Drosophila melanogaster: one gene and its partners. The protein of the gene in region 3 interacts with the protein of the main gene of each other region in a pairwise test. Each region holds a gene or a part of one and is shown on either strand. Other genes may lie near its edges. The genes, in order: GCC88, Git, Kap-alpha1 and Cse1.

Region 1 (4,973 bases), on a different chromosome or scaffold from region 3:
GTGTATAAATCCTTTGTAATTCACCCAAAACGAATAATCCATAACGAATCGAAACTGTTTTTGCGAGCTTGCATAATTTGAAATCATTGTTTTACTAGTCATCGTATTATTTACACTAAAATGAAGTCTATATATATATAAAAATATATAAATAAAAACTATTTAATTACACCAAACTGTGTGTTAGTTCTTCTCGAGCTTCAGGTCGCCGAGCTTCTCGTTCAGCGCACTTTCTTCATCCTCCTCAGCTTTGAACATCTCCTGAAATTCGGAAAATCAGATTGCTTGAGTTTTCTGGGGAGTTCTAGGTGTATTTCTGAATGAGTCACTTACCGGATCGTATATGACCTTGATGACTAGGGAGCAGCTGGGACAGGTGGCCACCTCCTCGCCCTCGATTAGCTCCTCCTAAAGTGGAAATTTACCAAGTGATATGGGGAGTCCAGAAAAAAAAAGGTTGCGTATACGACTCGTTACCTTGGAGATCTGAAATCGATCGCCGCATGGACAGGGATAGTAGTACATCTCCTCCTCCTCGTCGTACTCGAAGTCCTCGATCTCCACCTCGTCGTGATAGATGCTCATGACGTACCTTCAGCTTAATTCAGCGCCTAAAGGTCATATTATATTTGAGTTTTTTTTGCGATAACTTAGATTAATCCACGCCAAACAAATGGGCACGTTGTGTTGCGGGGCTGCCAACTCGTTGCAGCGAACAGCTGATCCAGTAAACAATTGCAAATGTTTTATTTGGACATTTTTGGACCGCCGGCTGCAGTTGTGAAATAAGTCTCGTATAAAATAGTATATTTTAGCTAACTTTTGCCCAAAAAAGACAAACTGCAAAACAAACCCATGTTCCAGTTGTTGAATAAGGAGTAAAATAAGACTAAATGGCTAGCAAAAAGTACAGTGACGTGAATCTTTACGATCTTCTGGGCATTTCTCTCGAGTCTGATCAAAATGAGATACGCAAGGCGTACCGCAAGAAGGCCCTCGAGTGCCATCCCGACAAGAATCCGGACAATCCGAAGGCAGTCGAGCGCTTCCATGAGTTGTCCAAGGCTCTGGAGATCCTCACGGATGAATCCGCGCGCGCAGCTTATGACAAAGTGCTGAAGGCCAAGAAGGCGGCGGAGCTGAGGAGTCGCCAACTGGACGGGAAGCGGCAGAAGCTGAAGCTGGAACTGGAGGAACGTGAACGGGCGGCACTGCACAAACTGGCGAAGAGCCAACCCTACAGCACGGTGGCCAAAAGCGACGAGGAGGTGCTGCATGAGCAGATCGAGCGGTTGCGACGCGAGGGCTCCCGTCTGCTGGAGGAGGAGCAGCGAGCCATGCAGGAGCAGTTCCGGCGGAATCACGCGGAGCAACAGAAACTGCAGCAACAGCCGGTCCAGTTTGATTCCGCCCAGCATCGCATCAAGATGAAGTGGAAGGCCGAACCTGGCCAGGATTACACACAGCAAGAGCTGCTCAAGTATCTGAAGAAGTACGGCGACGTGGTGGCCCTGGTGGTCAACAGCAAGCGACGCGGACGCGCCATGGTGGAGCTGGCCACGCGCGAAGCCTGCGACATGGTCTTGGCCTACGAAAAAGGCGATCCCGCCAAGCCGCTGCACTTCGAGTGGGTAACGCCGCCGGCGGCAGACAAGCAGACAACCAAATCGGCCACCACTGGGTGCAGTGCGTCATCCACCGACTACGAGGACCTGGTCATGCGAAAGCTGCGCCAAGCTGAGGAACGTAAGAGACTCATTGAGCAGATGATGAAGGACGAGGAGGGCGAATGAAATAAGATTTAGTTAGGCTCAACATTTAATTTACTTTAATTGGACTAATATTAATGTTTGAAAATATCTCAATTTAGCAACTATGCAGCTGATTTATAATACATTTACATTTAAAATAGTTTTTAATTTATGTAAATTTGGTTATTAATTATTTTTTGAAAAACCGCAAAAATAAAAAAAAGTTTAAATCAGAATGATGGCAATTTTTAGTGCCTGAGCAAACATGACAAGTTGGCAGGCCCGCGTGCCAGCTGCTGAAATTTGTTAATTAAAAGAAATGCAAAAATGACACGGGAGATAAATAAATTGAACTACTAAGCGAACTGAAAGTAAATGAACTAATTCCCTTTCAAGGCGAAATGGAGAAGCGACAGAGGGAGCTGGAGGCGCTGGTGTCCACCCAAAAGGAGCAACTGGGGCGCTATGAAAAGCGTCTAAAAGGTGAGACATAGATGAATTCGCAATGCAAATGGATTAATGAGCCCAATTTGTAGACGTGGTCACTGCCTACAAGGGTCTGCTTAAGGAGAAGGAGGCATTGGAGACGAGTCTGGCGGCGCATGCGGAGGCCACGGCGGTGGGCGAGTCCGGATCGCCGGCCAGGGAGTTGGAGTCCAAAAAAACCAGCACCGACTCTGCGGATGGAGCAACCGAGGGCGCTGCACCGGGTCCGCCTGCTCCCCCGGCCGAGGGTCAACTGCAGACCCAAATTATCACCCTGATGAACTCGCTGGCCACTCTTTCCGCTGAGAAATCCCGCATGGAGGCCTCCTTTCAGGCGGATAAAAAGCAACTGCGCAGCCAAATCGCCCAAAAGGAGCAGACCATTCAGGAGCTTAATACCCGGGCCAAGGAGCAGGCTGCTCGGGCCAAAAGCGACGTGGACGAGATCAAGGCCAAGTGGATCGTGGAGCGACAGGAGCGCGAGAAAGAGACCAACAACCAAATGCTCATGATCCGCGAACTGCAGAAACTCTATGCGGACGAGCGGCATCTAAAGGACAACATTGAGATGCAGTTAAACAACTTCAAGACCCAGTTCGCCAGCAACGAGGCAGAGAATAGCCGGCTACGGGAATTGCAATCCCAGCTAAAGGAGGCTCGCTCCCAGCTGAAACAGTTCCAGGCCAAGACCGAGCACTCTGCAGCAGCGTCAGCGAGTGCGGACAGCGCCGCTCTCCTTCAGCAAGTGCGCCTTGAGATGCAGCAACTGAAGGAGCAGCATGCAGTGGCCATTCGTCAGGAACAGCGTCGCGTGCTGCGTGCCGAGGAACAGAGTCGCAGGCAGGCGGCGCTGCACGAGGATCGCGTGGCCAGTCTAGAGGCACGCCTGGCGGAGCTCAGCACCACTGTCGGCAGCTACGACCGCCTGCGTCAGCAAGATCAGGACAGCATCCATGATTTGAAGCAGCAGCTGCAGGATCTAGAGCAGGCACATGTGCGTCCAACATCCAATTCAAGGGCGCTAAACGAAGATGTGGACGTAGCCACGCTGGTTGACGAGATGGTGCGCTTGAAGAAACTGCTTACCACAGCCAATGCCCGTTCTGCCAATCCACTGGATCTCGGGGAGATCCTATCATTTAGCGGCCAAACAGCTACCCGAGTCGAGAGTCACGCCCACTGCGAGCAACAGCTTCAGGGTGTGCAGCAAATGCTCGAGGCATCCAAGCAGCAGCGACAGCTACTCGAACAGAAGGTGCAGCTGCAGCACTCGCACATCCAAACGCTGCAGGAGAAGGTGCAGGTGCTCAATCGCAACATCGACGAGGCGGAAGTCGAACTAAAGCAGCAGGGCGAAAAGCTGCGCCTGGCATTGAAGAACGAACGAACCAAGTGGCAGGAAGCCAAGGCTGAACTGGAGAACGAGACGCGCTGCAAACTGAACGAGCTGGAACAGCTACTGCAGAAGCAGCGCCAGAGGTCACTGCAGCTGCTGGATGAGAAGGAGCAGGAGATTAAGACACTGCAGACCTCCTTCGAGGTCTTTCACTCGGCCAGCGGTGTGGGCAGCACACTGGCCACACCCACACTTGAAGCAGCTGCCGATTCCTTTCACTATTCCTCCGACACCGACAGCGTGGAGGGGGAGCAGCGGGAAAGAAAGCTAAAGGTGCGCTCCAAGAAAATGTCGATGGGCGAGAACTGCCACATGCTGCACTATGCCAACGAGTTGGCGCGCAAGGACATCGAAATCACGACACTGCGGAAAGCCAAATACGCCGCCGAGTCGACGCTGCGAAAGGCGATCCAGGACAAGGTGACATCTCAGCAGGAAATGCACGAGAAGATCGAGTGCCTCAAGGAGCAGGTGGACAGGTGCGTCGTTGTCGTTGTTATCGTTGTTGTCTTAGAAAGTCATGCCACGATCTCTACTCCCATTCTAGACTCGAACGTTGCAAGACGCGCGAGGGTGCCAATCTGGAGTACCTGAAGAACGTTATTATCAGCTACATTGTTACCCGGGACGCGGACGGCAAGCGTCACATGCTGAACGCCATCTCGGCGGTGCTCCAGTTCACCGCCGCAGAGATGCAGGCGATCAATGCATCATTCCAGAAGAAATAACATTCGTACTTTTGTTCAACAATCATGTGCAACATATTTAAAACCCTACAAACAGATCCTAAATAGATAACTAACTAAATCCGACGACTGGGTATTTGTCTAGGTGGGCAGCTAGCACGCCGGGAAACATGGCCAGGAACTTAAAGCGAGTGCCCATCTGGGCTGGATCCGTGAGCATCTCGTAGCCGGAGCGAATGATCTCCTGGTTTTCGGGCAGCGCATGTGCCAACAGTTGCTCCAGTCGAGCCTCACCCTGCATTCGCTGCAGGAACAGTCCCTGCTCCACGGGACCGCAGCAGTGGACATTTCCGCGTGTCTCGGCAATGTGCCGCACTAGCTTGAAGTCCACATCGGCCGTGAGATCAGCACTGCCCGGCTCCACCAGCGGATCGTGCAGCTTGTGCTGCTTGAAGGCCCGGAAAGTGTCGGTTTTCTCGCCAAAATGGCCATAATCCATGATTAGAGCGATGCCGCCATCCCGTTCGATGCGCTCGGCGAGCAGTCCCACCTGTCGTTCCGTCTCCAGGGAGTGCTCCAAACAGGATCGTGTCTCGCCGGGCAGCGGTCGATAAAGACTCGAAACGGGTGTTTGGCTACGTGAGAGCACATATC
Region 2 (5,798 bases), on a different chromosome or scaffold from region 3:
GAATGTCAAAATGGGATGTGTATATTTTTATGGACACTTTTGGTGCGCTTCGAACATGGCAGAGCATATTATTTTTTAGAGACCGCGAGCACAGTCGTGCAACACTCATGGATAAATGCTTTAATCTTAAATAGTTCCTTGAACTTGCACACCACAACCACCACGAGTGTATTTTTGTCCATAGGCGAGCAATCCGACCACCAGCCGGAGGTCAGAAAAACAGCCAGAGCAAAGGCAGCAGCTACCCACTCAATTACACAAAGTTAAACAATAAGTAGAGGAAGCCACTTATACATATGTACTCCATGCTTAACTGATTGTCCATGCTTAGAACGTACAGTTAACTAAAGTGAACAATATACAGGCTCAAAATGCACCTGATTATTAAAATTATAAAGGACCCATAAATATATATATATATACACAGATATCGTAAATCTTTCCACCTCCTTTGTCTCCCCCCCTTTGAATTTGAGGGCCAATCCTTCAACACTTTTAAACTATTTTGCAATGGGTCATTAGCCCGTAGAAGAACGCATTTTGTGTATATTGAACGAAGTACATTGATTTATGTAAACATTTATTAAATACATAAACTATATGTAAAGGGGATTCTTTAAATTATTTGGCGGAAGCACTTTTGTTAGTCAGCAGGGCACTAAAGTGGTCGGTTAATACTTCAAAAAAGAGTGAGTGAGTTTAAACTTCTATGTCGATGATTGTGTTTTGGGCGTCTCAATAGAACTGCAACACCAAAGTCTTTATGGCACTGGCAATGTGGAAGGCGCAGTCGCGCACCTCCAAGGTGTTCTTCTGTATGGCCTGCTTGTCATCCGCCTCGATGGCTTTCTGCAGATTCTCGCACTCGTGCTGGATGAGAATGTTCTGGCGGGTTAGCAGTTTAAGGGTTTCGCGAGACGGGTCACTGGCATTCGGTGGCTAAAATATATGTTTATGATTATGAAACATCCTTATAAAGGAAGCCCCTATGTTCATCTTACCAAATTGGCATAAAGGGCAATTAAATCAGTCACGGCACTTCGTATAAGCTCTCCATGTGGAGCAATCGACTGCTTTTGATCCTCTGGCACTGGCTGCATAGCTCTTATGAGCTCCTTAAGACGGCGTGTGACCAAGTCAGAGCGCACTTTGACCTCCTCACCAAAAGGTTTGCCATCCCCAGCCATTTGGTACATGCTGGTCGTATTTCGTATGTCCGTATTGCCCTTGGCCACATTGGGTACCAAACGACGCTCGTACATGCTGGCTGGACGCTTGATGGTCGATTGATTTGACGAATCATTGGAGGAGCCGCTTTCCCCATTGGCAGTCCCACCTTCGGGTAGCGACAGAGGCTCGTGCTCTGTATCCGGACTGCTCAAGCTCAGATCAATGCGACTATGCAAAGGAAAATTTAAAACAAATCATAAAAATAAAGCTAGCCAAATAAATTCAAATGAAAAATCTCACAGTGGCTCATCGTACACGCTGTTGTTCGATGCGCTCGAGAACTTGGACTTGAGCTGCGTGTTCTCGCTGGACAGCATCTGCACCACGTTCTTTAGCTGATTGATCTCCGATTTGTAATCGTTCAGCTGTTTGCGCAGCGTTTCCATTTCGTTGTGCGAATTCGCGCTGCGCGGTGGCGTATGCACAATGGCCTAAGTAAAATAAAAAGCATAAAAACAAGGAAAATAAATCAATATAAATCAAGTACAACTAATAATTACAAAATCTTTAAAAATAAATATTGCATAAAAACAAAAGGCAAGGCAGACAAATCACGGTACCAACTACTACTTATTTAAACTACATTTTCACAAGTATCAGCTAGTTTTATTGAGGCTTATGTTCTACATTTGGACTTCTACCTTTGAAAATGGATTAGGTTGCCTAAAATCAGGGAGCTATAGTGCCCTGGCCTACGGATGAACACAATGGGTACAGCACGGGTTGTCTAAATGTCAGTCTTCGCTTACGCTTCTAGCCAAAGCTATTGTTCAGCTTGAGTATCTTTTGCCGCATTAGGTTTACCTGCTGGGCCATTGGTGGCACTGGGGCATAGTCGTCATCGCTGGCCACCGGATCATAAATGGGCTCGTCGTCCGACAGATTCGGATCATGACCGCCCTGCTCGAACGAGCCGAGCAGCATTGAGTTGTTGGCATACGGCAGCGATTGCAGCGACTGGTGCCCGGCCACTGGGGCATCCATTGGACGCAGGTTGGCCATATTCTGGCGTCGCATAGCATCGACGAGCACGTCGGTCAAGAGACCAGTGAACTCGGCGCGATTGAAGCGTGCCAATTTCTGACGACCCTGTAGGCGAGACCATGTCAATGAATGAAGGTTCGAATCATTAATGTACGGCGAGGTCAAACCTGATTGCGCGTGGCGCTCAAAAATGGATTAGCCGGCAAAAATGGCACAGTTGCATGATCAGCATTCAGGGTGCTTGTCGACCAGACTATTTCGTTAAGAAAAATAAGATTAGCTTTGTTTGTAGTCTATGTTTAGCAGTCATACTCACTGGCTTCGCACTCGCGTCTGTCCACCTCATCGTATAGGTCCATGACCAGCTCCTCAAACATCTTATTTGGCACGAGTTGCAACTTTCCACGTGCAATCTTCAGTTGCTCGCTTATGTCCGCGCCATTGGCATCCGGAATAATCATGTGGCGGCCACTCTACGTATGGAAATAGTATTTAAATAGAACGGAATAAGGAAATGGGTAGGAAAGGTCGAGTCAACTGTGCATTTGCTCATGGAAATATGAATCCATTAAATAAATATAGTTCTGTGACTAACAAAAATTTAAATAGATAGTTATAAACTTTAGACTGAAGACAACTTAAGGAGTTACAAGGATATAGCTTAATTGGCTTAATACATATATGATTAATCAATGGATAAGGTTAAATGGTTTGTCCAATTAAAGTATAATTTCACTCTGCAGGTAATTAAAGATCTAAACTCACCGCATGATCTGGCTTCTTGCCACCTAGGAAGGTAATGATCCTGTCGGTGACATCGTACATGGCATCAAGCAGTCTTTCGGCGATGGTGTTATGATTGTTGGCCCTGGCCAGTTCCAGAGGAGTCATCCCATTGCCATCCAAGGCATTCACATCGGCTCCATAGATGAGCAGCATCTCGATTTGTGATGCCTGGCCAAACTTGGCGGCCATGTGAAGTGGCGTTGATAGCTTGTCCTCGTGGTAGTAATTTGGGTCTGCACCCTGGACCAAGAAGCGCAGTGAAGTCTCTAGATTGCTGGTCCGCACGCTGGCATGGAGCTGTCTACTCAGCTCCTGTTCCAGACAGCCCGCTGAGCCATTGCCATCATCGTCATCCTGGAGACTGGGTTTTAGCACGAACGTTAGATTCACATGCTTGGCCTTAATAAAATCGGATTTGGTGGGATGGAGTGCATCCTTGGGCGTGGGTTTCCGCCAGCGTGGCACGTGCTTTCCGCCGGTGGAGTTGGTGCTGCCATCCAGCAGATGATGCTCCCAAACACTATTGGCTCCATGGGCGTTTAGAGAGTTCACAAAGTTCAGAACCGAGGGCTCCCAGTTACCCTGGCGTAGAGACTTCACAATGGAGATGTGCCTGCCCAGACTGCGGTGCACCGAACAGCAGTCGGCGCAGAGAAGGATGCCCCGGTTGATGCTCGCCCAGGATGGATCACCAGCTCCGCAATCGCCACAAACTTCGGTTTGCAGGCGGGATTTCCCCCTCGGCATTTTGGATCTGGTCGAAATCGTGGGTGTGGCTGGATCGGAATGATCCAAATCCGGCGGCGCTATAAATAACTTCCTGTGCGCTTCGATTATACTGCTGGCGAAACACATTCAGCATTCCAAGACGCTCACAAGCTGCAGGGGAGATACGAAAAATAGAATACCGAAGTTGAAAAAAAACTCGGACAATCTCAAGTGACTTCGTTGTGAGTCAGTTGCAAGCTGTTGGCTTTCTGATTGGAAATCCGAAACGCTGGCGGTGAAAGGTCAAATATCAGCAACTGGGGCTCACCCCTGGCCATCAATTAGGAAAATTACTTTTAATTAAACGCGGGGAGCAGCAGAAGAAAACATTTGCGGACGCCTTTTCCGAGTTTGTTTTAGTTATTTTGCGCACCAGTGTGACCAAACAGTAGCAGTGGAAAAGCGCTAGATTTGAAGTGAAAAGGCTGACGAATGTAGCAGCTGTGTTTGTGCCTTTTCAAATTTTAAAATCCATCATATACCCAGTATTACAGAAGTTGCAATATTTATTCGGTCAAAATTTTGCAATGGTCTGCAATACCGAAAAATCAAAAACCAAACAGGTGTAACTTTCGTAACTAGCCCTGCCAGACTTTTCAATATTGTCGGCTGGCCTCACTATTCCAGCTTCTTCACAACATATAGTTGTCTCACTTGCACTCCCTTAGAAATCATATGTTTATGAACAGATGAGACAGTTTTAGAAGCACTGCATTATTTGAAGCACATGTGCCAAAACAAAACAATTTCGCCGACATTCAATTCGAATTTAGTTGTCATTAAAAAATAGAAGTGCAACATTAGCATGCAAGTGGAGAATCTGCATACTTCAGTGGCCTGCAACCGCTGCACGGAATGCGCGGATTGGGGTCCAAATGGTTGGATTGCCTATGGGGCATGTAACGCCATAGCCATTATGGATCCAAAGGTAGGAAATTTTGCCTTTACTGGAAACATAGTATATTTAACCAATTTTTAGTTTCAAGGCAACTCAGCCAAGGTCCTGTTCACGCTGGTGGAGCACACAAAGCGAGTAAACACTGTGAGGTGGTTGGATTGCGACAAACTTCTTTCCGGCGGAGATGATGCAATTGCTATTCTCTGGGAACTGGATGAAACGGGAACGACTAAGAGCTTCACTCTCAAAGGACACACAAGTGGCGTAAATACTGTGGATGGAATTCGCCAACAGGATGGCTCCTGGCTTTTGGCGACCGCAGCAGCAGATACCACCATCAAGTTGTGGACTTTCCAGGATAATAATTATGTGTGCTTTCAAACCATATCTTTATCCGACGGATTCTGCTTCTGTCTTCGACTGCAGCTGCTGCCCAAGAGCAACCAGGTTCTGCTCGCCTTCAGTGGCGATGACGAGACTGTTTCCCTGTGGTCGGAACAGGTAGAAACCGCAGGTGAAGGAGATTCACTAGGTCGGCAGTTCCAACGCAAACACAAGCTCACTGGCCACGAAGACTGGGTTCGAGGTCTGGATTTCGTTGTCGATGGCGAGGATTTGCTGCTGGCCAGTGGCTCTCAGGATAACTTTATTCGTCTCTGGCGGATTGCGCCGCGCAGCAAAGAGCAAATGCAAGAGAATCGGGTTGATCTGCATCAATTGAGCCACAACGACGATGAGATAAAGGTGGAGGAGAAGATACTACAACTGGGGAAAGAAGCCTGGTATGCAGTGAGCTTGGAATCGGTTCTATATGGACATGAGGGATGGATTTATGGGGTCCACTGGCACAAAACACCCGATCAAGGTAAAGCACAGCAATTGAACTCCCCAAAGACCTTTCAAAAACGTTATCCATTTAGAGCTCCGCCTTCTATCCGCTTCTATTGACAAGACCGTCATAATTTGGGCACCTACGGAAGAAGGCATTTGGTTGGAAGAAGTTCGCGTGGGTGAAGTGGGTGGAAACTCCGTGGGCTTCTATGGTGGAAAGTTCTCCGGCGATGGACACTCGATCATGGCCCACAGCTACCAAGGTGGCTTTCATATTTGGAGCCAAGATCCAGATCGGCCA
Region 3 (5,606 bases):
AGCTGGGTGGCTACGACATTCCGAAAAATGCCACAATTCTGATTAGCCTACGTTCAGTGCATCTCGATAAGGAGCACTGGAAGGATCCGCTGGAGTTCCGCCCAGAGAGGTTCATCGATTCGGCTGGCAAGTGCTTCAAGGACGAGTACTTCATGCCCTTCGGCATGGGCAGACGCCGTTGTCTGGGCGATGCCCTCGCCCGTGCCTGCATCTTCTCGTTTCTAGTGCGGATCGTGCAGCATTTTAGCGTTGTCCTGCCGGCGGGAGAGTCTCCATCAATGGTGCTTCTGCCTGGGATTACGCTTACTCCAAAACCATACAAGGTGCAGTTCGTCAAGCGCACCTAAGTTCGTGACTGGAGTCGATGGTGTCGGTATTATAGGTCAAGAGATATGGTGCTGAATCCACTAGGATATTTCCAAGGATTCCGAAAATTATTTACACATGAGGATATTATAAGCTTAAAGATTCAATAAAAACTTATGCCAATCTGCATAGCTGTGGTCTAGATGTTGTTTATTGATGTCCTCTAAATTAAATTACAATGCTTTATAATTTAAACAAATTTACATTCGGCGATTCGCATAACAAAATGATCAAATGAATCAGAATGTATAACAACACCATGTGAGGATCTCATCGTACTTGGGCTGGAAAATATATATATAAAATGGAAAATATTTACAGACTCAATTTGAGGAAAGCAAAAACATATACAATGGGTTCTGTATAACATATTAAATTAGTACAATCGAACTAAATGAAAGCAATCTCGTCATGCCTGGTCCTGGACCACTTCGAAAATTATAGAACTAAACGCTGATACAATAAGCAGGTGAGTGATTGTAACAAAGAAACGAGCCGACCGAACGACCATCTTTCCTTAAATGCTAGTAGTGACTGCACTTGGGCAAGGCAGACGCCTTCTCATGCGGTCTATTTTTCATGTCCGTGCTCTGGCCGCCTTCATTTAAATCCCGGCGGCAAGGCTTCGCTTCCTGTTGCATATGCTTCTGTGTGTTTAGGACTTGAGGGATTCGTATTTGAATAGTTAAACGATGTCCTGCGCGGTAGGGTGCTAAAAGTTAAATCCGGTGCTGGGCATGTTGTCCGGATCGAACTCAAACTGTTGCGTGCCTGCCACGGGAGCCACCCGGCTATCCTCCTCTTCGTTGCCGAAGTACTGTTCGATAATGTAAAATGATTTGTGGTAGATGTCGCGGTTTTCATGCGCCTGCAGATACTCTATTTTGTCCAAACCTATATAATATTAACAGAATCGATATTTAAATGGAAATTTGAAAGTAAAAATAAATAGCGTTACCTCCGCATTCCTCGATGGTAATAGCATAGGGATTTGGTCGCGTCTGGAACTTTTCACCTGCCTTCAAAATGTTTTCAAGTGCATTTAGCGCCACTTGGACGATGTCCGAGTCGACGACGGTGAGAAAATCGCACATGGGCGGCACACAGCCAACCTGCACCAGGTAGTGGATCTGTTCGTGCGTACCGCTGCTGGTTGCGTTGGTAATGGCCCATGCGGCCTCCTTGCGAGTCTTAAATTCGGCCGTCTGCATGATAACCATCAGCTGCGGGAATATGTTGGCATTGATTAAGGCCTGGATCTGCTCACGATTGCCGGCTGCAATATTTGAGATTGTCCAGCACGACTCCTTCTTGATTGTTTCCGCCGTCGAATGCAGCAGGTGGCTAATGCAGGTCAAAGCGTTGTACCCCAATATCACCTGGGTCTGCTGATCGTCGCCTGTCACAATATTGCCCACGGCCCTCAGAGCAGCTGTGCTCACGTTCTGCTGAGGATGTCTGCCAGGATAGGTCAACAAATCATAAGTGTAATTTTAATTTGTAATGGCGCAGCAGGACTACTTACAATAGCAGCTCAACCAGGCGACGGCAAACACCCGCATCAATTACAGCCTGGATTTTATCATTGGGACCATCTGACAGGTAGCCTATGGCCCAGCAAGTATCGCTTAGTACATCCGCATCAGTGTACTTCAGCAACCGTGCCAGTATTGGTAGACCATGGCTAATTTTGGCAAAGTCTGCGGGAGGGCTTTTGCCGCGGCACAAGTTTGAAAGTGTCCACACCGCATTCCGTATCATGGTAATGCGATCCGAGTTGCTCAATACACTGCAAGAAGTCACACCTACTTTGGCGCAATCTTATCAATATAATTATTTATAACTTACTGCAGGAGAGGCTCTAGAATGCCGGAGCCGAGCAAATGGTCTCGACACATGGGTGAGTCACCGGCTATGTTGCCTAGGGCCCACACGGCCTGTTCCTGAACATCATCATGGGGACTGGAGAGCAAATCAATGAAGATAGGCACTGCCCCGGCCTCGATAACCACCTTGGTCTGTTGCGAGGTGCCCGATGCGATGTTCGTTAGCGTCCAGGCGGCCTCGAACTGCAGCGTGGCATTTGCGCTATTTCGCAAAAAGGTGACAAACTGTGGCACTATCCCCTTCTGGATGACTTCCTCAATGGGAGGATTGGGATCGCGGGACAGCAGTTTGCGGAACTTTTGAGTCGCCTCAAGCTGTTCGTTTTCACGTCCACTGAAGAGCATTTGAATCATTTCCTCGTTGATTACGGATGGCTGTGCCCCGCTTCCAGCAGCTTCCTCGTTTTGACCGCCAGTGCTGCTGTCAGCCATGTGCATGTCGGCAGCCTGCATTGGAATGGAGAGATAGTTAAGACTATGCTATCAGGCCAAACTTGATCAAAATATACCTGCTGTTCGTTATCGGTGTTGCTCTCCACTCCGGCTGATGTTGAGGATGTAGCCGGCTCAAGAACCACATTGCGTCGCTTAAAGAGCTGCTGTTCGCGTTTGTTTTTTCGCAACTGGATGCCCACCTCCTCGCGACGACGACGCATCTCTGTGGAGTCCAAGGCGGCATTTTTATAACGCTGTTTGTGGCTGGCAGACATTTCGTCGTCTTGGCAATTCAAAAGCTTGAAATAGTTAAAAAAAATATTTCTTTGAGAACAGAATAATTTAAGTCGTAAAGACAGGTTTCAGATAAAAAGTGAGTGCGACTTGATTTTCGCCGCTACTGTGATCAAATGCTAAACGAAAGTGCAAATAATCTAGAAAATATAGGTAGAGGTCGTCGTGGAATGCGAACTAGTTGAATTGAACGTTTATAATCATCACTAGGTGTTCCCCAATGTTCTCATCCACTCCCACCAGGATTATTACGCCCTGTAACCACTGAACATTCGCTTAGCGCCTGCTCTAGGCTAATTTTACATTTCCGGAAACATAAAGATTACGTTGTCAGGCGAATAATTTACATATAATAGGTTCACATTTAATGAACTATTCAGTTTTCCTGGCAAAATGCACAATCACAACACTTTCACATTTCATTGTACGTGTATGTACATATGTGCACACACGGCTGCTTTGCGTTTGTGCGTATAGGTGCGGGCTTAGGTCAGCCAGCATGAGCCATTCGCTGGTCTCCGGTTACGCCCTTCTTTGAGCCACCACAACTCCTGGTTAGAAGAGGCGCCTTCAGATACGTAATTAGAACACAATTTACCTGTTCCGGAGAATCCTTTTCTCGTCTTAATCATGCAAGGGGACGGGAGATTTTACACGTTGTGAGGAACGGGGATGCCGGACTGTCAAAATGCAATGCACACAGCTGACGCGCTATCGATAGCGATATCAACCGATAGCAGTAATTCCAATCCAATTGCATTTAATTTAAACATGAAAGAAAATAAGAAAAAGTCGCGCAAAACGGCCAATAAGACAAATGAAACGTCAGAGGGTCAGAAAAAGAAGATCATTGAACTGCTGCACGAGTACAACGACCTAAAGGATGCCACCCAGCGCGTCCTGGAAGCCTTGGCCAACCTAAAATGCGTACCCGTCGGATCGGTTTACGCTACATACAACCTGCCCCGCGACGAATAAAGTTTGTGCTTTTTAGACTGTTATATTTATGTACTTGTTGTAAACAACTTGTAATACAACGGAGTGCATGTAAATGCCTTCTGGCTTGGCAGTTCCATGAGACTTCTGCTAATAAATCCACCTAAAACTAGTCATTGCATTTGTTCCACCTATTGGCCAGCATGAAAATAGGACCGGCATCGTTCATTGAAGGTCTTGTAGGAACGATCTTTAATGATGTCCTCGACATTGAGCTCGGCCTGGAGAACCCGCAGCTGGAAAGGATCATAGGCATCAGTTAAGAGTAAGACTTAGGTATTTCGGTTACCTTGCGCTGCTCCGCCCTAAACTGGTTATCCGTATCCACATCATCCGGCTGGGTCTCCCGCTTTTCCCTTAGCTTCTTCAGATTACTAGCCGAAATTGTTATGCAACTGCGTATGCTTTCTTGCTGCAAGGAGAAGCTATCTGTCAAGATCCCCGTGTGTTGTACTTAATCAGGATTTACCCTGGCCAAGTGTGACTCCTGGAGCTTCGCGTACAGATCGCGACAGGTGCTTTCACTGTTCACTTGACCCTTAAACGACTCCGTTGGCAGGGCATTTAGTGCATATATAATCTTGTCGTCCACATCTCGCATCTTCTTCAGTGCCTCCTGTTTGGAAACTTAAAGCCATTTAGTATGCCGGCTACTAACCCAAACAACAATATTCCAACCCCCACCTGGAAGCCGAGAAAGTCTAAGCACAATGCCGCCATTTAAACCAGGTAGGAAAACAAGAAAACACTTTAAAAAATAATAAAAACAAAATGATATATGTAAAATTGCCGGCGCAATGTGCCTCTAATCGGGGTTGCCACCTGGGCGGTGCAATCGATTAGCACGATTATGGACAATCGATGTGGATGATAAAGACTAGTTGAACAAAACAAAACAAAATAGCAAAATAATTCAAGATGCCGCTAAAATTCGATGATATTCACGAGAAAATTGAAACCGGCGTCTACCAATTGGCTGTTAATGACAAAAGCACACGGAGCACTGTGTGGCGGGTGTATCGCAAGATCAAGAAGGACGATGGTAGCTTTCTGGAGCACGTACTGTTCTGCATCGGCTGCAGGAGCATTATGTCCTTCACCCACAAATCCACAACGAACCTGAGGCGTCACCGGTGTCACCTGCAGTATCTCAAGAAACAGGCATTCTGCTGCTACAATTCCAAGGGCGAATCCAACGACAGAAAGGAGGAGACGGACCAGGAGCATCATGAGGAACATGATGACCAACAATCCATGTCGGATGAGTTGGAAACAAAACCCTCTCCTGCCGATGTTGCCGCCTTTGTGGGGGAAGCGGTCAGCGGCGGAGATTCCACTGCAGCTTCAGCCCGTATTCCGGACATTCCCGAGATCGCGCTACCACTCGACGCAAGTGGGGTCGAGGAGTCCAATGTTTATGCACAGACCTGGTCCCTTGAGTACCGCAAACTCAGCGAGGACCAAAAATTCTATGCCAAAAAAGCTATAGACGAAATCTTCGTATTGGGCAGGCTACGACGCCTTACTCTGAATACGGTTCCAACGGCGGAGTAGAATAGTTAATCAGGATTAAGTAGGACTTAATTTAAGCTAATATACATACTCTGTACATATTGTGTTTAATCTTTA
Region 4 (6,321 bases), on a different chromosome or scaffold from region 3:
GAGAATCTCCTAAAGTAACTACGATGATCTTGAGTAGAAATACAAGTTTTAGCTAATTCATTATTTTTTTAGGTATGGCATTCGCATCAATCCACTGGATTGGTTCTTCTTCATAAGCGGACACAACGAAGGCGAAGGACATAACGCCCTAATCCTGAGCATTTGTAAGCACGCACAAAATCAAGGATTACGCAAACGAAATTGATAACCTTCGTCTCACCATATTTTACAGACTCTTTAGTGCATATCTCGCTCTGTTTGGCTGTGGAGAAGGGTCTAGCCATGGTAAGTACTTACTTTGATAGCATCTCACGCCTATTTTCTTCGATCGTGACTTGAAATACGTTATTAGCTTGAACATGGCTTATATGATAAATTTCGAAATATCTAGTTAATTCTAAATTCACAATTTTGAAATTGAGTGAAGGGTGTTTGACAAGAAATGATTTGTTTATCAGAGAGAAAAGTATGAAATATTCAGAAGTTATCGCAGTTGAAACACACTAGTTTCGGAAAACATAATTTTTAATTGTTTACAAAACTTACATATATTAGATACAATTTTTAAATGACAATAAACTGGGCATGCAATGAGTGATCGAGTGCGTGTATGCATAAATTTTCGAATGTATGGCGAGGTTTGATTGCGATGAATGAGCTTAAAGTCGGTCGATTCCTTTAGGCAATGCGTACTCCAGCCTGATCACAATATTTCTGGAGTACTTGCTTGTACTCCGGCTCCAGGGGCGACAACAAAGTGGAAAATTCTCCTGCCCTAGCCTGGGCAAACTTAGAGAGCGAAGTTGCTAGAAACTGGCGAGCATCCTTAATCTCAGCCAGGTGATCCTGCTGGTTGGGCTGGGCATGAGTCAGTTGGGCAAATGCCACTTGATAGCCCGCATCGGGATCTTCGGCAACTCCAGCTGTCTCTCCTATTTCGAGACCCATCAATTTCTCTGGTGGTCGTTCAAAAAGATCGATTAGAGAATGCAGCAGTCGTGGCCAGAAAGTAGCGTACTGTTGCTGCAATATCTCAGGAGTTTCTGTAAGTAGCTTAGTGACACCCACGGCCACCATTTTGCGATCCTGTTCCTTGGGAATCTTGCCCATTTCGGTGATAAACACGCGGTCCAGCAGCATGCCAAATAGGTTAGGCTGAATCTCATCTATCAATTGAGCCATCTGACTGCCACTGAACTTAATCACATAAAAGCTAAAGAAGATAATGATGCCGCTTAAATACTTCGGAGTCTTTGAGAGAGACAATCGCTGGAAGAGCAGGCCAAAGATCTGACGAAGATTAGTTTGAATCTCAGCGGGAGGGTAGTAGGAAAGCAGATTCTGGAGAAGATAAAACCCTTCATGGTCATTAGCCTTGGAGGCAATCATCTTTTGGAATATTCCGAGGATACCGCTCTGAAATATATGTTGAAAAATGCATAAGATTGGACTCTGTAAAATAAAATTTGTGATGTATAATATAACTTACCAGTTTACCCAAGGCTTGAATCTGAGCAGATCCCTGCTTGATGAAAGCAGAAATCAGGCGAATTAATGGTGTGACATTGCCCGTCCTGTCCCACAGAGCTGGTGACAACAAGCAGGGGAACAAAGCCCAATAGGGTTCCGGTATGGTACCAGTGCCCTCGCGCATTTCCAACAGCACAGAAAGCATCTGGAAGACGTAGGGCATAAATTCGACAATGTCCTGCTGTAAGATGCCCTGGAAAACTGGGAACAATGCCTCCTCAAAGGAGCTCACAGCCGAGGAATCGGCGTGACAAACAATTCTAGGGAAAAAGAAAATTTGTTATTGCTCTTTACCACCAAAATGCATAACACTTACTTTATACACAGAGCCAGCGTTTCAAAAAGATAGTGGTTGAACTGCGGACGCGATGGATTCTTGGCCACTTGGGTGAGAATCTCGGTAAGCCGTGGAAGGGCGACGCCCATAAAGGGCATGGCGGCCGATTGCAAGACCGAAAAACTTCGCATAATGGCTAATAATAATAATTAGAGTTTTGTTAACATATTAGAAACGTATGAGATAGTCCCCCAAACTCACCTTTCATTACGTACTCATTTTCACCGGAACCTGGGAGTGAAAGGGTCGCAAATAACCCACTAATTAGTTCAGTTGTGTAAGGTGCTAAAATCTGAGGACCAAAAACGATCGCGTTGCTAGCATCCCGCATAGAAAGGATCTTCTCCACTGAACAAGCAGCATAGCTATGAACAACAGAGCTTTCGGCGGGGAGATGTCGAATTAGCTGGGGCAGGCAGCTTGCTAAGACTTGGGGACCCAAAATGCTGCGGAACACCATTACATACTTAATTGCAGCAGCCTTAAGAACAGGAAACTCGTTAACTGCAAAGAGCATTGGAAGAATGCAGATATAAGATGATCGAATTGGGAAAATGGTTATTTGGGCTTACTGTTGGGTCTTTCCAGTTCTGGAATAATTTGCTGGGCACAAAATTCGGGAAGTGGAACCAACTCCGAGGTCTGTGTGATGCCATGCTTTTGAGTTCCTCCTCGAGATGCCCACGAAGTAACCAAATAAATTGCCGTATCCTTTGACCTCCAATTGGTAGCCGGATTCTCCTTGTACTTGGTCAACAATCTCTCTAGATACTGGCCAAAAATGCCAAAGATCTTTTGTTCAAAGTTGATTGATAGAGTCTTCACCAGATCACATGCCGCCCGACGTCGTGTGTCAATGTCAGAGCCTTCAATATCCCTTCGAATGTACTCCTCCGGACTGTCCTCGAAAATTTCTTCATCTGAGGGCCGGATGTCTAGATTGGGAATGACAACTTTATCGCAGATCTGAGCAAGAATCTCTGGGTTCTCGAAAATGCTCTGATAATGCTGGCGGTCAGCCACCACAGAGAGGAACTGCAGAGCATGGGAGACCAACTGTGCGCAAAATAAGAATGGAAAAATTATAAAAATAATTATTAAGAAAGCGTATGGTTTCTGTTACTTACCGAATCGTACTTGGTGTGCAAACTTGTCTTGACCAGTAACTCCCAAACTGCAGTCACAAATTGCTCCATAAATGGCTTGAACTCCTCGTCGTACTTTTTTGCATAAAGGCAAATGTTCTCGCAGACTTGAGCACGCAGATGCTCTAGAACACCCGCATCCTCATCATCTGCAGTACGCAGGGATGGCACATCCGCAGCTAGTTGCTGAATAAACGCTCCCATCCACGTATTGATATTGTCCTCAAAGAACTCCGGCAAATCTTGGGAGTTGAGCGAGAAAAACACCTTGTTCACAAGGACCAATGAACCGTAGATGACCTTCAGGGCGCCGGCATTGTTCTCGTGCACCTTAGTCAACTGCATTGTGGCCTGGAGCAGGTCTGTCAGAGGTTTAGCCATACGATCCAGTACAAATTTGATCTCCTCCCACAAAGCCTGCGACTTGAACTCATAACGATAGCGCTTGAAAAGCGAGTGTGCGGTTTGCAAAACGCCGTTGATGACATTGAAATCACCAGAGGCAAATCTCTCCACCATCTCGTCGATAAGCTGCGGCCATTTTTTGGGAAAATCATATTTGCCTATGATGCTGACCGCGTCGCTTAGTTGTTTTTGCAATGCCACCGGTGAGTGGAGCATTAGCGTAACGATCAAGGTCTTAATTGTATTCCTGTCACTTTCGTGGATGCGATCCGGTCCGTCGCTGTCAAGGTGGGCTGCCCAATTCCGCTTAATATAGTTCTTAAAGGCAATGGCTCCCGCCACCCGCGTAGTCATGTCCATTTGGGCTTTGTCTATCAGATTGAGCAGTAGGATCGGGTAATTCTGCTGTAGTTCCGTGGACTCCAAAAGTTTTTCGGCTATAAAAGTAGAGAAGGAAATGGTGTGTTTGTTAGAACTATTGTACTTATGTAAATCGGATGTTGCAAATACAAATATATAAGGAACCGATAGGAGCTTACAGTGTTTCTCGTTAGACTAAACATATTTTCAATTCAAGCAATAAGTTTTTTATACAATATTTTCAAAAGCTTGGTTATGGTGGTGCGGAGTCTATAGGCTTGGTATGCCTTAAATAATCCTAAAACTAGGTCTATGGTTTTGAAAGGTGGCTTGGCAACAGTCATATCAAGATCAGCTAATCTCGATTCAATTAATAGAAAGCGTGACTGTATAAATTCTTTGACATAGGGAAAACTTGTAGACAACTTCAAATGGATTTAAAAACCGTATTTTTCTTTGGCGTCGCCAAAAACCATTTCCCGCGCACATACACATCAGCACCCCTGCACGCATGTGCAGTTGTGTGTGTGCACATGCATTCCTACACACACACACTCACCCGGCCGGCGGACATTGGGATCGGCGCTCAGCGTCTGCTGCAAATAACCGGCCAGCAGCTGTAAATTTGCCTCTGTCACTTCCATTTTGAGTATATTTTCTTTTCGATGGTCCTATTTGCTTTAATTTATATCACTCGTGGCTTGTTCCTCCACACTCTTGCAACATGAAATGAAATCGCAATTCGTTTTCGCACACAATGCTCGCCGATCTGGGGATGGAACTCAGGGCGAGTTTTCGATATCGATTGTTTATAGTTACTGTTACTAGGATTCGATGGTTTTAGATTTTAAATGTTCATATCAGAAATATCGCATATTGAACTTTACTAATTTAGTATCATTTGATATGATATCAATTCCTGTTTTTTTTTTTCAAAAACCAACTGAATGAATTAAAAATTAAAACAAATTTGTAATTCTTTTCCAGGAAATAATTGCAGAGGGCTTGGGCTTGTTCATCCAGATAGTGAACATTGTTGTCTTGGTTTGCCTACCGGTGGTAACAATTCACCTAAAAGGACATGCTTTTAGTTTGAGTGAGAAATTAACTTAGTTTAGGTGTATTTTAAAATATTTAATTATCTGTTAATCTTTAGTGGGCGCTTCAACAGTTTGCTTCTTTTACTCTGTGTTGTTCCTAAAACTATGGTCCTATGTGCAGACGAATATGTGGTGCCGTCAGACTTATTATCAAAAGAATCCGCGGGAGCGTCGACCAAGCATAACTTTGGCGGAACTAAGTATGTTGAGATCTCTCAACGGAATGTCATATATTAAAAATTCATCTTTCATCCAGAAAAAGGAGTTTTGAATGGAGGTGAAGAAGACGAGGACGTTTCCAAGCTGGTGCAATATCCTGATAATCTCACATACAAGGATCTCCTGTACTTCCTTTGCGCGCCCACTCTCTGCTATGAGTTGAATTTCCCGCGAACTTCTCGCGTGCGCAAACGCTTTTTGCTGAAGCGTTTATTGGAGGTGGTGATTGGAGTGAATGTGGTTATGGCCTTGTTTCAACAATGGATCATTCCATCGGTTCGGAACTCCCTGATTCCGTTCTCCAATATGGACGTGGCCTTAGCCACTGAGCGACTTCTTAAACTTGCGGTTGGTAGAGTGAAAATTATAAAACGTTTGAGTATTATTTAATAATTTTTCTTTAATTAGCTACCCAATCATCTTTGCTGGCTCTGCTTTTTCTATCTAATGTTCCACTCTTTTCTTAATGCGGTCGGCGAACTGCTGAATTTTGCAGATCGCAATTTTTATTGTGATTGGTGGAATGCGAATAACATTGACACCTTCTGGCGTACATGGAACATGCCAGTTCATAGGTGGTGCGTGCGTCATCTCTACATCCCTGTGGTCCAAATGGGATATTCCTCAAGACAGGCCTCTACTATTGTCTTTCTTTTCAGTGCCGTCTTCCATGAATATTTGGTATGAGGGTTGATATTTAGAATTTCAAATTTTGTACAATAATATAATTTATATTTTCAGGTTTCAGTTCCTTTGCAAATATACAAGATCTGGGCATTTATGGGCATGATGGGTCAGATTCCCCTATCGGCCATATCCAAATCCATTGAAAAGAAACTGGGTCCCCGAATGGGCAATATAATCGTGTGGGCTTCCATTATTCTTGGTCAGCCTCTGTGCATAATGGCCTATTATCACGATTATGTCGTCCAGCATTTCAAAAACTCGCTCAACGGCACCGACTACAGTAGTTAGGTTTCAAAAAAGGTTAACATTTAAAAATGGAGCAACACTGAAATATCTGCATCGGTCGGGTCCGTGTACTTTTCGTAATTTATAAGCCAGAATGCAAGTTAAGAAGGAAACTTGTGATTGCCAATTTACAAAGCATATTTTGTATGACTTTTGCACATGCATGTAGTACTGATTAACACAAATAGATTGTTATTGAATGCATTTGTTAATGAATTTAAGTGTCATGTAAATAAATCAAATTTTAAACTAA

The links.
Region 1: the proteins of Kap-alpha1 (region 3) and GCC88 interact in a two-hybrid assay, tested with the Drosophila melanogaster proteins (one large-scale study listed by BioGRID).
Region 2: the proteins of Kap-alpha1 (region 3) and Git interact in a two-hybrid assay, tested with the Drosophila melanogaster proteins (one large-scale study listed by BioGRID).
Region 4: the proteins of Kap-alpha1 (region 3) and Cse1 interact in a two-hybrid assay, tested with the Drosophila melanogaster proteins (one large-scale study listed by BioGRID).

Annotation. Positions count from the first base shown.
Region 1 is NT_033777.3:11,227,629-11,232,601, reverse strand, and holds GCC88 (GRIP and coiled-coil domain containing 88 kDa), read left to right. Parts: upstream 1-2,001; 5' UTR 2,002-2,152; coding exon 2,153-2,234; intron 2,235-2,287; coding exon 2,288-4,112; intron 4,113-4,180; coding exon 4,181-4,361; 3' UTR 4,362-4,431; downstream 4,432-4,973. Other genes in the region: Dph3 (diphthamide biosynthesis 3), read right to left, coding at 184-261, 334-408, 478-585; CG17187 (uncharacterized protein), read left to right, coding at 894-1,793; CG17726 (uncharacterized protein), read right to left, coding at 4,432-4,973.
Region 2 is NT_033778.4:10,641,276-10,647,073, forward strand, and holds Git (G protein-coupled receptor kinase interacting ArfGAP), read right to left. Parts: upstream 4,153-5,798; 5' UTR 4,063-4,152; intron 3,880-4,062; 5' UTR 3,856-3,879; coding exon 2,980-3,855; intron 2,688-2,979; coding exon 2,531-2,687; intron 2,468-2,530; coding exon 2,382-2,467; intron 2,320-2,381; coding exon 2,035-2,319; intron 1,662-2,034; coding exon 1,471-1,661; intron 1,399-1,470; coding exon 1,002-1,398; intron 940-1,001; coding exon 736-939; 3' UTR 543-735; downstream 1-542. Other genes in the region: Elp2 (elongator complex protein 2), read left to right, coding at 4,574-4,696, 4,748-5,531, 5,587-5,798. UniProt on the Drosophila melanogaster protein: GTPase-activating protein for ADP ribosylation factor family members, including ARF1.
Region 3 is NT_037436.4:19,805,293-19,810,898, reverse strand, and holds Kap-alpha1 (karyopherin alpha1), read right to left. Parts: upstream 3,668-5,606; 5' UTR 3,580-3,667; intron 2,987-3,579; 5' UTR 2,963-2,986; coding exon 2,762-2,962; intron 2,700-2,761; coding exon 2,215-2,699; intron 2,156-2,214; coding exon 1,892-2,155; intron 1,825-1,891; coding exon 1,325-1,824; intron 1,261-1,324; coding exon 1,079-1,260; 3' UTR 501-1,078; downstream 1-500. Other genes in the region: Cyp305a1 (cytochrome P450 305a1), read left to right, coding at 1-347; CG14104 (uncharacterized protein), read left to right, coding at 3,753-3,959; Ccdc58 (Coiled-coil domain-containing 58), read right to left, coding at 4,109-4,213, 4,267-4,389, 4,447-4,593, 4,662-4,697; CG34116 (uncharacterized protein), read left to right, coding at 4,896-5,531.
Region 4 is NT_033779.5:16,820,646-16,826,966, forward strand, and holds Cse1 (chromosome segregation 1), read right to left. Parts: upstream 4,563-6,321; 5' UTR 4,422-4,562; coding exon 4,337-4,421; intron 3,855-4,336; coding exon 2,995-3,854; intron 2,924-2,994; coding exon 2,440-2,923; intron 2,372-2,439; coding exon 2,069-2,371; intron 2,004-2,068; coding exon 1,847-2,003; intron 1,791-1,846; coding exon 1,490-1,790; intron 1,417-1,489; coding exon 679-1,416; 3' UTR 511-678; downstream 1-510. Other genes in the region: CG13280 (uncharacterized protein), read right to left, coding at 298-361; mdy (midway), read left to right, coding at 1-14, 73-164, 233-285, 4,765-4,873, 4,934-5,077, 5,134-5,444, 5,505-5,777, 5,838-6,071. UniProt on the Drosophila melanogaster protein: Export receptor for importin alpha. Mediates importin-alpha re-export from the nucleus to the cytoplasm after import substrates have been released into the nucleoplasm.